Elephas maximus indicus: one gene and its partner. The protein of the gene in region 1 interacts with the protein of each later gene in a biochemical or structural test. Links are inferred from orthologs where the notes say so. Each region holds a gene or a part of one and is shown in the gene's direction. Other genes may lie near its edges.

Region 1 (6,933 bases):
CTTTCCTTCTCTCAGTCTCCCTCTCTCCTTCTGCCTGTCTTCCTCTGCCCTGCACTCCCTGCCTCTGTGCAGTCTGGAGGATAAACTTGAGAATTTCTATACAGAGAGCTTGCCTTTTTGGGGGGGGTGGTAGGGAGGGCTAGGGGGGTCTCCTTTAATCATGTTGTTTCACCTTTTAACTGACCAAACGACTTGAGCGCGTTTTTTTGAGGAGAGGGATGAGGGCGAGGAGCTCTTGCAGCCCCTTGTCGCCTCCTCTCCATCAGCTGCGTACAATGGGCCGCTGCTAGCCGAGTGCATTGACAAACTCTCCGTTATTCGAGCTGGAGGGGCTGGGGGACAAACACGGGAAAGCCTTTATTCCGCTCTTTAAAAATCATCGCTTCTGCTCATCACTAGGCGATCGCCTGCACGCTACACGAAGGCTAGAGATACCGGGAAGCGCAAAACGCACCCCAAACACGCAGCGCTTCCTAAACCCCTCCCTGGTGAGATTTAAAGTGAGAACCAGTATTAAAAAACAGACCCTACCTCTGTCAATACTGCGTGGCCATTTACTTCCACCTTTACCTGAGGGCGTGTTGGGGCTCGGGATGCTCGACCTGAGACAAACTTTTGCGCTTCCCGAGTCCAGGGGCTGGCGAACCGCCGAACGCCGCTCCAACCCCCAGCGGCAGCGGCGGCGGCTTTGTCACTCGGAGCTTCTCCCGCGCCCGCTGGAGCCTGCCTAGGGGAGCGAGCTCAAAACGAGGGGGGTGGGGGGGACGGTTGCGAGTGTGCGATTGGAGAATATGTAACTAATAGAAGTATCATTTCCCCCCAGTAAGATCTTTCAAGGAAAAAAAAAATCCATTGAAAGAATTTTCAAAGTGCTGTCTTCGTTTGGAAAAAGACAGGCTGCCTGAGGGGAGGGGAGGGGAGGAGGGACTCGGCTGTGCACCGCCAGGGCGCGACTCCCGTCCGCTAGGTGGCAGCCGGAGCCAGCGATTCCTGCAGGCCCCGCGGCGGGACCCGCTCCTCCCGCCTGCCCCTCCACCCACGACCAATCACCTCCGGGAATCCAGGTCTCAGTTTGTCTCTGCGTCTCTGTCTCTCCCTAGTCCTACCCCTTCCTTTTGCCTTCCACTTCTCCACATCTTCTCGTCCACCCTCTCCCTCTTTTCCTGGGACCCTGATTTGGCCGACCTAACGCCCTCCCCCCCCCCAACAAAATGAAGACTTATTTCTGCTTTAATAATCATGGAAGTGTTGTTTTGGAGTTTGGAACAGCCTGAGGATATGAGGATACAAAACGGGGGGGGGGGTTGATTGAAAAGTTTATTTTTAAAAAACATCTTTGGGGTGAGTAGAAACCTTGATTCGAATAGAATTTGTGATAATAGCTGCAAATTCCAGGAGTGTGCTTTGTCATAATTAAACCTATAATCCAGAATGTACTTGGGGCCAAAAAATAGGGAAACCCTACCTTGCTTCTAAGAAGGAAATAAAATGAGCAGAAGCCAGACTTGGGGAAACAATCCAAACCCAGTATATTTCACGAGTCATTAAAACAGTGGGGTTTCATTCCCATTAAAAAATTTTTTTTCTAACATTTACAGTGACATTCTTTTCACGCTTATAAAATCTAAATTTAAAAACTTTTCAGAAGAAATCAAAATAATTTCCTTCTAATTCTCTTTTCGCCCATCGACATCCCTTCCCCCTCTAGGGTGTGTGTGTGTGTGCGTGTGTGTGTGTGTGTGTGTGTGTGTGTGACCGTAGACGACCCATACTAATCAGGTCTCAGAGTAAATAGCAGCGCAGGGCGATCTCAATGTAAATTGTGCTTGTCAGAAACACACCCCCCTCCCTCACTTTCTCTCCTCCTCCCCTCGGCATCCTAGTCAGTAGGTAGCTAAGAGGCAGGGGGGAAAAAAAAAAAAGAAAGAAAGAAAAAGAGGTGGGGGGAGGGGCTCTCCAACCAATGGCGTGCGGGAGGCTTGGCTAACCTTAGACTCCCATTTTCTCTCCCCCCCGATTCAGGGCTCTGACCAGTCAGTCGCCTTTGATTATCAGTTGCCAGCAGCCCTTCTCTTGGCTCCTTGACACGAGCTCCATATAAGGCAGCGATCTCCATAGAAACGTGTCAGTTTCAATAGTAGTGTCAAAGTTCACTATATACAGACATTCGCGCAGATCCCCCTTTCGGAAACATTGCTCTGCGAGTCCTCCCGTTTAAACGCATTCAATTTTTGGGTCTCTCTCCTCTCTCCCCCTCTCCCTCTCTCCCTCTCTCTCTTCCTCTCTCTCTCTCTCTCTCTCTCCCCTCTCTCTCCTCTCTCGCCCTCTCTTCTCTCCCCCTCTCGCCTCTCTCCTCTTTCTCCTTTCTTACATATTCTATTAGTTGTTTCCCCCTTATTCTTCTTCTCCTTCTTTCTCTTCTTTTTTTCCCTCCTCCTGTCTCTTTTACTCCATTCTTGCACAAGAGAGAGGTCTAAACTTAAAAAAAAAAAAGGAGGAGACACCCCCTTCGTATTCTTCTTATCGTAATTTTATACATATATGATTTTTTTCTTTTTTTTAAATTTTTTTTGGAGGGAGGGTGTTGGTTCCCGGCTGAAGAGCACTTATTTAAAATACTAAAAAAAGAACATTTTTGGGCGATCTCCAGGGTTTTTTAACTAGCTCTGTGTGTTATAGCAGAAGAAGCAGAAGAAGAAGCAAGAAAGAGGAAAAGAAGAGGATTATTTATTCGACCTACTTTGGATGTCTCTCTCGTCTATTTTTTTTTTTTTTTTTTGCAATTCTTTTTCCTCTGATTTTTATTTTTTTCTATTTCGCCGTGAATTCGTCGCCGGCGTGAATTATCCCGTATTTTTCTCCCCCTTCCATCACCTCCTGAAAGAAGGCAGCGAGAGCTCGGCGCCACCGGCACAACAAAAAGAGCAAAGTGTGTGATCCTCCCCGCCGGCTGCCTCCCGCTCTCCAGCGCTGCCTTCCTGAATGGCTGGCTGCGTCCGGCCCTGGACCTGGCCCCCAGACACCCGCGCGCCCTGATCGCTGCCGGCAGCCTCGCCCCGCGCCCTGCTCGGCTCCCCACGCTTCCCGCACTCCCGAGCCGGGCAAGGGCTCCCGCCGGGACAGCGGCGGCGGCGCGGGCGGCTCCAAGCCCGGCTCGCGCTCCGACTGCAGCCCCGGCTCCAGCTCCGACTCCGGCCTCGGCCCCGGCTCCTCCAGAGGCGCTCGCCGCAGCTGCTGAGGCGGCGGCTCCAGCGGCGCCTGCAGCCGCGACCTCCTCCTCAGCCACCGCCGCCACCGCCTCCGCCGCCGCCTCCGCCCTCGCCGGCTTCCTCTATGTCGGCTCAGCCCGCGCGCTGCGCTTAGCCCCGGCGGCCGGCGGGCGGGAGGGCGCCCGGCGCGGGTGAGCGAGTGTGTGTGCGAGTGTGTGTGTGCGCGGGGGTGCGGGCGAGGCGGAGGGCGAGTGTGTGCGCGCGCCGTGGCCCATGCCCGCCGCCCCCGGCGCAGCGCCCCGCGCCGCTCCCCGCTGCCGCCTGTGCCATTTCTGATTTTGCAACTTGGGGAAGAAGAAAAAAGCGAGAGAAGGGAGCTTGCTCGTCGGGGGGGTGGGGAGGGGGGGAAGGAGAGCGCGGCCCCCCCAGGAACCGAGCGCGGGGGGAGCGGGCGAGGGGAGAAGGGGTGTGGGGGGGAGCCTGAGAGCCTGGGGGGGCTGCAAAAAGAAAGAAAACAGCAGGAACCACAACAAAACGCCAGCAGGGCGGGCGGGCGCGCAGCAGCAGCGGGGCGGCCGAGGCAGTAGCTGCGGCGGCGGCGGCGGCGGCAGAGGCAGCGGCCGGTGCCCGGCTCGGGCTCGGCTCCGGCGACCCCGGGGCGCCCGGCGGGCCCCCCGCCCCCTCCCCCTCCCCCTCCCCCTTCCCCTTCCCCTCCCCGCGCGCTCGCGCGCCCCGCGGCCCTCGGCGAGCAGCTCGGCTCCCCCCCAGCGCTCCCCGGGCCCAAAGATATGGCAATGGTAGTTAGCAGCTGGCGAGATCCGCAGGACGACGTGGCCGGGGGCAACCCCGGCGGCCCCAACCCCGCAGCGCAGGCGGCCCGCGGCGGCGGCGGCGCCGGCGAGCAGCAGCAGCAGGCGGGCTCGGGCGCGCCGCACACGCCGCAGACCCCGGGCCAGCCGGGAGCGCCCGCCACCCCCGGCACGGCGGGGGACAAGGGCCAGGGCCCGCCCGGCTCGGGCCAGAGCCAGCAGCACATCGAGTGCGTGGTGTGCGGGGACAAGTCGAGCGGCAAGCACTACGGCCAATTCACCTGCGAGGGTTGCAAAAGTTTCTTCAAGAGGAGCGTCCGCAGGAACTTAACTTACACATGCCGTGCCAACAGGAACTGTCCCATCGACCAGCACCACCGCAACCAGTGCCAATACTGCCGCCTCAAGAAGTGCCTCAAAGTGGGCATGAGGCGGGAAGGTGAATATTTCTTCTCTGCTTCTCTCCCCGCGCTTCGTCCGGCTCCCCGGCCCTCTTTCTATCTCGCGGGGGTGGCTGCTATGTGGGACTGGGGCTTCAGCGGTCCCGGTCCATCCCACCTTCCCCTGTTCCCTCTGCCTTCCTCCCCCTGCGTCTCCCACCTCCCCCCCCCCCACCCCCCAGCTCGCTGCCGCTGCCTCCCCCTCCCGGTCTGCGCTACTCTTCCCGGCTCCCCAACCCCGCCCGCTGCCTGCTCGGGATTGTGTCCCTGGGATCGTGAGCTATGGCTTAAAATCCCCTCCCTCCCTCTGTCTTGGATGTGCTCGGTGTGTGTCCCTTTTCCGGGTGTGCGTGAGGATGCTTGGGGCTGTGCTGGCATGAACTTGGGGAGGGGGTGCTTATTTCCCCAGAAAACTCTGTGTCTGTGTTTTTTCATTCCACTTTCTCCTCCACCTCTTCATACTCTTTATTTAAAATGGGAGAGGGCTGGGGACTGGAGTACCCTGAACCGTAGATTCATTGCTGCCATCATCCTTTTGGAAGCTTAGCTTGGAAAAAGAGGAGTGAGATTTATTGCACTTGTAGGTCTAATTAGGGGGGAAGGGGGGCTTCTAGCCTGTTCACTGGTTCCCTCTCCTCTCCACGGAGCTGGGGCCGCCTCCTCTGGAGCTGTGGCCTTGTGTTCACCCCTCTACTGTGAAAGGAAAGTTTGTGACTGAACCGTGCTTTCATAGTTGTGTCATTTTTTTTAAAGCATGATACTCCTTTTATTTCTTCATCAAACTCCACCCTCTGCTTAAATACTGCATACAAATTACAATTTACTACGCATTTACCGATCCTTCTGATTTGGCTATAATGCACAGACTGCAGCTGGCATGCGCTTTCACGTCATTTAATCCCTGTGTTGTATGGGTTTGTTGTTTGTGGTTTTTTTTTTTAACACAACTTTTGATGTTGGATTTAGATATGTTTCATGTTCATGTGGCAAGAGATGCAGTAGTTCCTTATAAATGTATTTAGCTGTTCACAGTTAAAGTTTATCTCCTAACAGTCGTTGAAGATGTCTTATGGTCAAATTAGCGAGCCAGACAATTTTGTAGAACTCAGATTACTCCTTCTTGTAATTGACTTTAAAATGATATTTTATATGCCACAAGAAAAGAAATTAAATTCCTTCAGATTTCAAGGAGGAGGCAAATATGATGACTTCATTTCTAGCTCCAGGGAGATTTTGTAGGCATCTGAGGAAAAAAAAAAACTTTGAATTGTGCTCTCATTTAATTGAAAAATAACTGCCAAGTTCAAAACTATAATTAGAAAAAAGTATTCTATCTATTATGTTTCAAGAGCTTAAATTGCACTGGAACTTGCATTAAAATTAGAATCAAAGCAAACTTAAGAAAACAGTGCACAGACTGAAATAAGACAGCTACGTGTACATGGACATATCTATATTAATTTGTTGAGGGGGAGAGTTCAGTAGCCCTAACTTTTCAGAAAGTTGCCTTTGTTTACATGGCAATTTAAAACACCGGCAGTGTTGAAGTAAAACATACACATTAAAAAAAAAAACTTTGGTCAGCTTTAAGAACTCAAAGCATGCTTACGTTTTGCATTCAGATGGTTAATGAATCCAGTGTTTTTGCAGTTGCAAGCTCGTGCATTCACTGGGCAAAAGCTGGCTGCAGGTTGCAGTGGCACGGCGCAGGACAGAAATTAATTATATTTCCCACTTTTTTCAATAATGTTTGGCTACTGTAAGTTCAACTTTTTTTCTTGAAAATATTCCATTTTCTGTCGCTTTTAACAGTGAGAACTTTGTGTGGGGCGACGAGGAGGAGGGAAGAGGGGAGGGGTGCAGAATACTTGCTCTCTACTCAAAAAGTTTTAAGTGGTTACGAGGGTATGTAACTTGTATCTATTTTAAGGATAACCCTATAGCATTTTTAGAGAATATGGAAACATTTTATAAGCAAAACGCTGCTTGCTTACAAATAAGGAGGCCGCTAGGCATTTGCCTAGAACCACAACCTCTCTCCGGTTTCGCCTATATATATTTTTTAAACCCTGATTTGTTTCGGTCTGGAGGGGTGAGTGGGGTTTCATTTTTCTGTGTGTTCCTCCTTGGTGGTGGAGGGGTTGGCGCTTTCTTGGCGTCAGGAGCTCTGCTGGCCATGCCCGGCTGGGGGCCTTGAAGTCAGGCCTGGTTCCGGCAGGGTTGGGGTGACCAAAAGGGCAGGCGACGGACGGGCAAAACGGGCGGTGGAGCTGGAGGGCCTTACCCCAGCTCTCCTGGCGGTGTGGTCTGTGAGTGAGAGCGAGCGCGTGAGAGAAGGTGCGCGGGGCGCGTGTGGCTGCGGGAAAAGCCTTCGCTTTGTGTCGGGTGCTCTGCGGCGCGGCGATGTTCGCAAGCCCCCTGGATGCACATTGCCTCTTTTCTCTCTTTCTTTTTGTCAGCGGTTCAGCGAGGAAG
Region 2 (7,557 bases), on another chromosome or scaffold:
TTTCTCCCTCCCTCTCCTCCCTCCTTCCCTCCCTCCCTCCCTTCCCTCCTTCCCTTCTTCCTTCCCTCCTTCTTTCCCTCCCTCCTTTTTTTCCCACTGGTCCATCCAGAATGCAGCCTGCCAGCCAGCCAAAGGCCCAGAGCGCCTCTGGAGAAGGACGCTGGACCAACTGTTCCCTCAGGAAGCCCCCTGGGGGAAGTCTGTGCCTTTGCAGAAGGTGTAGACACTGCCCTCCAGGGGCCTCCCCAGGTCCCAGGCTCGGGTCACTCGGGGAGCAAAGGAGGAGGAAACGTCACGGGGGTGGGGCGCTGAGGGCGGCTGGGGGGAGAGCCACCCGCTTGCTCACAGCCGCTCCTCCTTTTTTATTATTTTCCCTTTGTCTTAACAAGTCCCTTAGCAAGTCCACCCCCAGGCACCCCAAATGCATCTACCAAGTGTAGAATCCAGATCTGAGCTTTATTTTTATAAAGATGAACGTACATTCTCTATTTTCCTGATCTGCCGATTAAGGGGGAAAAAAGATGAAATAAAAAGTAAGTTGGGATCGATTGTATTTTAATCATTCATTCATTTATTTATCTTTAAATCCATAAAGGTGTTTCCCCCTAAAGGCAGACAGTGAATATTTTATTTTAATCTTGTCATTTCCAGCGCGAGACAGACCTCTTAACCCTTGGTTCCCCAGCTTAGCCCGAGTGCCCAGCGCCAGGCGATCCTCCGCACCAGCGCTGGGACTGCGTTAAGCCTTCCTCATGGAGCTGTTTGTTGACCACATTCACGTTCAGAGCCCTGGAGCTAAAAGCACTTTACACCATAAAATAAAAGCACTGTCTTTTTTTTCTAAAAGGTTACGTCTGGAGGCCACGCGGCTCATACTTCATACCGAAAACTCCTGAAAGGACCATGAAACCCTCCTTGATTTACACTCTTGCACTGCATTAGAGAGCCGATCTGCTCGGCTCTAAAAAATACGGCGGGGTTTCTAACCGACGTGAATATATGTGCATTATTTCAGAAAGTCTGTTAGAAAACTTGTCAACACATTATAAAGCATAAACCAGGACTGGGCTATTAAGTGCGGAGATCAGAGGCAGGAAGTCCTGGGGAGTCTGCTCCGCCGGCGAGATAAAAAGGGGGAGGAGGGGAGGGCTTGTCTGCCGGCCTGGACTTTACGCAGCGTCGTCATCGAAGGTTGGGAAACAGCCCAAAGCGCGTCGTTACCTCCTCAGCGGACTCAGCAGAGGTTCTACAGCCCCGAACGGAGTTAACTGACCACCAGAAAATAATTTCAACGTTGTGGTAATTTATTACTTTTAAAAGCCACTTCTGGAAAGGTAAAATATACTTACTGTGTATCCAAAGTGCGCGCTTTTAACGTGACCTTTCACCCCCTCTACGAAACCACCTGCATCATTAATCAATACTTATGTAATATTTTTAAACCTCTTAAAACAACGCATGTTTTTTTCCTTTAAACACACCCACAATCTCCCCTCCCCCACTTTTGGGCGCTTTAGTGAGCTTCGAGCTGCGACGAGGAAAAGGGGCGTCGCCCGGAGGGGAGACGACTGGGGAGGGGGTTCCAGGAGCGATCAGATGCCTTCCCTCAGCCCTAGTTTTCTGGACTAGGTGAAATCTGGCTGGGGGAGGGGGTGGCAGCGGAGGGCAGAGTTTCCATTTCATCCTGGACATTTTATCATGGTGAAATCAAATGTATGTTGACGGTGGAAACCTCGCTGCCTACCTCTCCGTTGGTACCCAGGGAAAGCAGCTACAAAACTGGCTTTTTAATGCTATGTTTTAAGATGTGATTTCGGAAAGGACCCCCTGGAATCTGGAACAAGTTCAGTAACATAGCAGACCTACTTGTAACTAAGTGCTTAATCTCCTATGATTTTTTTAAAAGAGAAAATCAATAAAATGTTGCCAGTTATTTATAGGAAATAACCACAGATAGCGGCCCTGATGGGGTGCCGGTTTTAGAGAGCACCCAATTGTGTAATGAATTGTAATTCAGAAGACTGTTAAATGTGAACCACAGAACCTTTCAGAGGTAATAAACTCATTACTTTTTACACTACAGCCAACCCTGAAAAGCTTTATAAACACCATTCTATATAAATCATACATATATATTTCCCCAACACGCATTTGCCCATTTACGTACCTTCTCTACATATGGACTTTTATGGATGGATAGGAGCAATATTCAAATCTGAAATGCTCGATTCGGAAGGACTCTGGCTCACCATTGTTACCTGAAGGGGCTTTTACTTATTTTTCCAAGGCTTCCCAGTTACACTTTCTCCTTTCTTCACTTTCTAATATTCCTCCTCGCCGCCCTTCCCCGTCCCCCGCCCTACAGAGACATTCATTTGGTCATAAGGTTGGTTTAACAGACAAAAAACACCCGGTGGTGGGAGAAAGATGCTGAACTGCTCTGAAGAACTCACGGAAAAGAGGAAATGGTGTCACGCACACGCTACAGAGCCTTACTGCAAATGAGTCTTGCTTAAACAGGATTTGCGCTCCCCCCCGCTTTCTTAAACTGGAGGGAAACAGCAACAAACCGCATTTACACAAACCCACCTCAGCTCACACCCCTCATAACGTGGGGCATCCAAATCTCCTTTTTCTTCCTTGCGGAGACCTGAAGCGTCTTCAAGCTGGACAAGCGTCCTTTTCTAATAGGTTTGAAACTTTACTAAGATGACATAGGAATAAACAGCCGCTTGCCGGCGAGCCTGGGAGATGGGGGCGCGCTTGCCAGTCCAGGGCCCTTGCTTCAAACAACCCAACCCCCCCGCTGAGTGGGCGAATTTAAGGAGACGACACCCCTTAGAAGGAGGAGGGGGAAGAGAAGACCCGAGGGGTCGCGGGGCTGCTTGCGGGAGAGGGAAGGAAGGTTCCTTGCTTTGCAGCCACTCACACATGTCCACCTGCAGCTCGGAGTCTCGCGGGCAGCGGCGCCCGGCGTCCCCCTGCACTCTCCGCGCCAACCTTGGACTCGAGTCCATCCACACACCCCCACTCCCCAGCGTTTCCCGATTTGGAATCGGAGCGCCGTATCCGCGGCGGTGGCGGCGGCTGCAGGGTAGCGCAGGCAGGCGGGGAGGCTGGGAGGCGGGAGACGCCGGGGGACTTTGCAGGCACGTTTCGGAATAAACTTTCCAATCGCAGGGGGTGCTGTTGCTGTACATTTTACGTAAAACTGAAAGTATCCCATGCCAGAATGAAGCCCGCTTTTTGACAGCGGCAGCGTGTGTGAGTGTGTGTGTGTGCATGTGTGTGCGCGCGCGTATTAAAGAGACAGGGGCTTATTTCCAACAGGTCTTCCCTAATTTCCAGGGAATGTCTACAGAAAGACTAGAGGCGGCTGCGGGCTCCGAGGTGTGCGCCTTGGCCTGCGGCGCGCGAGAGCGCGGAGCTCGCCCAGAGCCGCTGGTCCCTCCGAGGCGGTCGCCCCTCCACTGTGGCCTCCCGGCTGCTCCCGCGAGCCCGCCGCTGTATCTCCATCCCCCATTTCCCTTTCCCCGGGTAACAGCACGGGAATAGTTGTGCTCTGCCCGTAAGCAGTACTTTCTTTCCATCCCTCTGTGCCTTTGCGGTGGGTCTGGAGCGGGAGGGGGTGTGTACCTCCTCGGGACCCGGCTCCGGGGCCTCTCGCGGCGCGGGGAGCGCGCTCCCAGCCCTCCCGGGACTGCCCGCGCTTTGTCCTCCTGCTCACGGCCGCCAGGAGAGGTGGACGCCTCCCCGGCCCCGGCCCTCGGTACTCCCGTCTTGGGGCTGGAATGCGCTCGGACTCTGGTTCCTCGTTCTTTATTCCGCGGCCCCTCTCTCACTCCGGGGTTCTGGGGAGCCTCGACTCCGCGCTTCCAGTTCATTCAAACCCAGTCGGTAGTCCAGGCGCTCAAATCCCCGGCCCCCGGCTCGGCCTCGGGGCGCCCTCCCGGCGCTCCTGCCCCGGCCTGCGCCGCTCGCCGCCTCCCTCGCCCTGGCCCCCTCCATCGAGACCGTCCGGGTTCGGGGAGGCCCCGACACTGCCCTTCCGGCCCGCGAGCCTCCAAACTTGGGCTGGACTCCGCTCCGCGCGCGCTCCCTCCCGCCTCCCCTCGCCCGCTGCGGCGCTGTAACTTGGAGGCTCAGCTCTAACTTCGGGTGATTTTCTTGGCTTTCCTCTCCTCGGGCAAAGTTTCCCGAGCGCAGCCGCGGGCTCCGGGCTTCCACTCCTGGCCCGGGTGTCCGCACACGGGGAGTGAGCGCGCCGGCTGCGGCGGCGGGGAGGGGAAGTGGGTGTGCGCACGGCGGAGGGGGGCCGGGAGCAACTCTACCTGCTTCCCTCCGCCCGCGCTTCTCCGGCCGCAGCCTGCAGCCCTCCGAGCACTCTTGCCTTTTTTTTTTTTTTTTTTTTAAATAATCTCTCATTTTAGGGTCCCAGTGGGGGGGGGGGAGCAGGACGCCCGCCTTGCTCCCCCCCCCGCCCCTGCCGCCCCTTTCTTCTCTCCCGGCCACGCCGCGGCTGCTGCGCTCGCTGCGGCCACTGGTGAGCCCGCGGCCCCGGCGCCCCCTCCCCTCCCCTCCGCCCGCCCCTCCCTCGGGGGCCGCGTCTGGCGTCTGCCGAGCCCCCCGCCCGCGCCTCCCCCGCCCCGCACTGGCCATTGGCTTGTCCTGGTCTCTTTTTCATGTCCAGCCCCTGATGTGTGTCCATTGGTGTGCGCTTCCCCTTCCCTCCTCCCCTTCTCTCCTGCTCGCCCTGCCCATGTTTTGTGTGTCTCTGTCCATCCAGACTCCTGACGTTCAAGTTCGCAGGGACGTCACGTCCGCACTTGAACTTGCAGCTCAGGGGGGCTTTTGCCATTTTTTTTCATCTCTCTCTCTCCCTCTATCTCTCCTCTCTCTCTCTCCTTTTTTTTTTTTTTTTTTGCTTAAAAAAAAAAAAAAAAAGCCATGACGGCTCTCCCACAATTCATCTTCCCTGCGCCATCTTTGTATTATTTCTAATTTATTTTGGATGTCAAAAGGCACTGATGAAGATATTTTCTCTGGAGTCTCCTTCTTTCTAACCCGGCTCTCCCGATGTGAACCGAGCCGTCGTCCGCCCGCCGCCGCCGCCCGCCCCGCAGCCCAACATGTCTCGCCGCAAGCAAGGCAAACCCCAGCACTTAAGCAAACGGGAATTCTCGCGTAAGTAACCCAATAATAGTAATAATAATTATTAATAATCACGAGAGCGCGCAGGACGAGCCGCAAGAGCGAGGGGGGAGAGGGGTGTGTGCGTGCATTTTTTATTTTCACGAGGAAACCTCCGAGAGTCGGAGTAAAAGAGATTAAAGGAAAAGGAAAAAAAAAAAAAAAAGAAAGAAAGAAACCTCGTCCCGTCTCGCACCTTAGCCGCGTGTGCACTTTTGGGATAGCATTCACCTTTTAATTTTATTTAATTAAAAAAGAAAGTCACCCCTCCTCTTACCTCCTTTCCGCTGCTTTATTTCTCTTGTCGAAAAGGAATGCGGTGGTTTTACCCCCCAGTTTTGCAAAATAATGAACAATGCTAAGGATGCGAACAACTCACGCGCCAGCCTGGGGGAGGGAGTCGGCGGGGAAAGGAGGGTGGCTTCCACTCCCCGCAGGAAAACGGGGTGTGGGGGGGGTCCCAGCCTACAAACCAATGCCGGGGGAGAAGAGGCGAGCCGGCCCTCGGACGCCGGCGCGCTCGCGGGCCGGCGTGACCCGGGAGGAAAGTAGGCTTCCCCGCCAGCGTCAGCCAGGGCATGCGGGAGGGGGCCGCGGCGCCGGGGAGAGCTGGGGAGCCGGGGAGAACGCCAGCCGCGGCCGGCGCTGCCGCCTTTTGTTCCGGCCCGAGGTGGGTGTTTGTCCCGCTGCCTTTTGTGCCAGCTCCTCGCGCTGGCCCTCCCGCGCCGCCGCTGTGGCCGAAGGGCCGGGGCCCGGGCCGGGGGCGCGCGGGAGAGGGAGGGAGGGCCCCGGGGTGGCCGCCCGGCTCGCCGCTGCCTTCCCCTCCCGGCCGAGCCTCCGAGGCGGCGAGGGGTAGACATGCAAAAGATAAAGACAGTTAAATTGAACGAGGCAAGAGAACGTAAAATTTCTTGCCCCAAAAAGCAGAAGCCAAGCGCTCCGCCAGCCCTCGACTGCAATGCTCTCCACTTTGACTTCCCCACCCCCCCCGCAAAAATCTCACCATCTCCAACCGAGAAAAAAAAATTACAATCACCCCCTTCCCCAAACCCCTTCACTCGCAGACTTAGAGCGCCGGCGGCACTGAGACGGAGCGAGGAACTCCCTCCTCTTACTATTTTTTGGAAGATTTTCAAAAAAAGTGGAAGTGGATTTTGATTGGGAAAAATCTCGTGTCTGAATGTTTACAAGCACCGCGTGTGCGGGAGCCTCCTGCCAACAAACAGACAGAGGACCGAGCGCAGCGCCGCGGCCTCAGAGCGGGCGGCGGCGGCGGCGGCCGGGCCTGGCCGGGGCCTCGCTGGGCCTCGGCGCGCCCCGGCCCCTCCCGGGATCGCCCACCCGGCGCCCGGCGCCCGCCCTCCGGGCACGGCGGCAGGCCACGCTGAGACTGCGCCAGCAGGGCCCCAGGTCCCCGCCCGCCCCCAGCACAATGCCCAGACCTCCTCCCGGCTTCCCCGACTGCGAAACCCGCTGGGGAGAAACTCGGCTTTGCAAAGCATTTTTATTCTGCAAAGCAACTGAAAAAGCTTGTTTCTGCGTGCGCCCCCTGCCCTCGGCTGTACCCCCAGAGGTCTCTTGTCCACCGCTCTCGGCCGCGGGGAGGGGGTGGAGGTCACCACGTGCATTCGCTTCCTCCCCCGACTCCCACCCCGGGTCTGGCCACCAGGTCCCTGTGCCGGAGCGGGGCCAGGCCCGGGCTGGGGCGGGGTGAGGTGGGGGAGGACTACGGAGAACTCTGGTCGGGTATGCCTTTGCGGGGCTCTATTCCGGGACCTCGCGTCCTTCACCTTTGGGTTCTTGCCCACTTCCTGGGCCTGACTTTGTCTGGGGTCCTTGTGAGTCTTTATAAGGCGGGGGGAGGGGGGGTCCCAGCTAACTGAATGCTCCTGTGAGGTAGTGGGTACTTAGGAAAGTTTGGCAGCGAGGGAAAGAAAGGCACGAGAAGGCCAGTTCTCTCCTCTCCATGACTCCCATTTTAATTTTTGATACAATTTTTAAAGGTCCACTTATACCCAGTCATGTATTTTTTGATGGGGTGGGGGCGCGCACAGGGAATTGCATTTTTCACTGGGCCCTGAAACTTGTCATACACTTCGGAAGCTCCCCCGCTCTCCTCCCCCCTCCCCAGCCCAAGCACGTTGCGGGGCCCTCCCTCTCCCCACCCCCGCGCATCCCTCCCTCGCCTCTCTCCCCCGCCCCCTACTCCCCCGGCCGCGCCGGATGCGGAGCAGACGCGGCGCGCGGCGGTGTGAAGTTACAGCCCGGCCAGGTACGGGCGGGAAGGAAGGGCAGAGTGCGCAGGACTTGGGAAAGCCGGGCCTGTCTTTGGAAGGTTGCACTGGGGCTCCAAGGACTGACTGGGGC

The links. The genes of interacting proteins can lie anywhere in the genome.
Region 2: the proteins of NR2F1 (region 1) and BCL11A form a complex in vitro, tested with the Homo sapiens proteins (2 studies listed by BioGRID). The link is inferred for Elephas maximus indicus from reciprocal best matches to the Homo sapiens genes NR2F1 and BCL11A.

The regions. Positions count from the first base shown.
Region 1 is NC_064820.1:100,819,751-100,826,683, forward strand, and holds the start of NR2F1 (COUP transcription factor 1), read left to right. Parts: upstream 1-3,910; 5' UTR 3,911-3,997; coding exon 3,998-4,457; intron 4,458-6,917; coding exon 6,918-6,933. UniProt on the Homo sapiens protein: Coup (chicken ovalbumin upstream promoter) transcription factor binds to the ovalbumin promoter and, in conjunction with another protein (S300-II) stimulates initiation of transcription. Binds to both direct repeats and palindromes of the 5'-AGGTCA-3' motif.
Region 2 is NC_064844.1:1,681,890-1,689,446, forward strand, and holds the start of BCL11A (B-cell lymphoma/leukemia 11A), read left to right. Parts: upstream 1-4,485; 5' UTR 4,486-4,543; intron 4,544-4,782; exon of another isoform or gene 4,783-5,021; 5' UTR 5,022-5,129; coding exon 5,130-5,184; intron 5,185-7,412; exon of another isoform or gene 7,413-7,413; coding exon of another isoform or gene 7,414-7,462; intron 7,463-7,557. UniProt on the Homo sapiens protein: Transcription factor. Associated with the BAF SWI/SNF chromatin remodeling complex. Binds to the 5'-TGACCA-3' sequence motif in regulatory regions of target genes, including a distal promoter of the HBG1 hemoglobin subunit gamma-1 gene.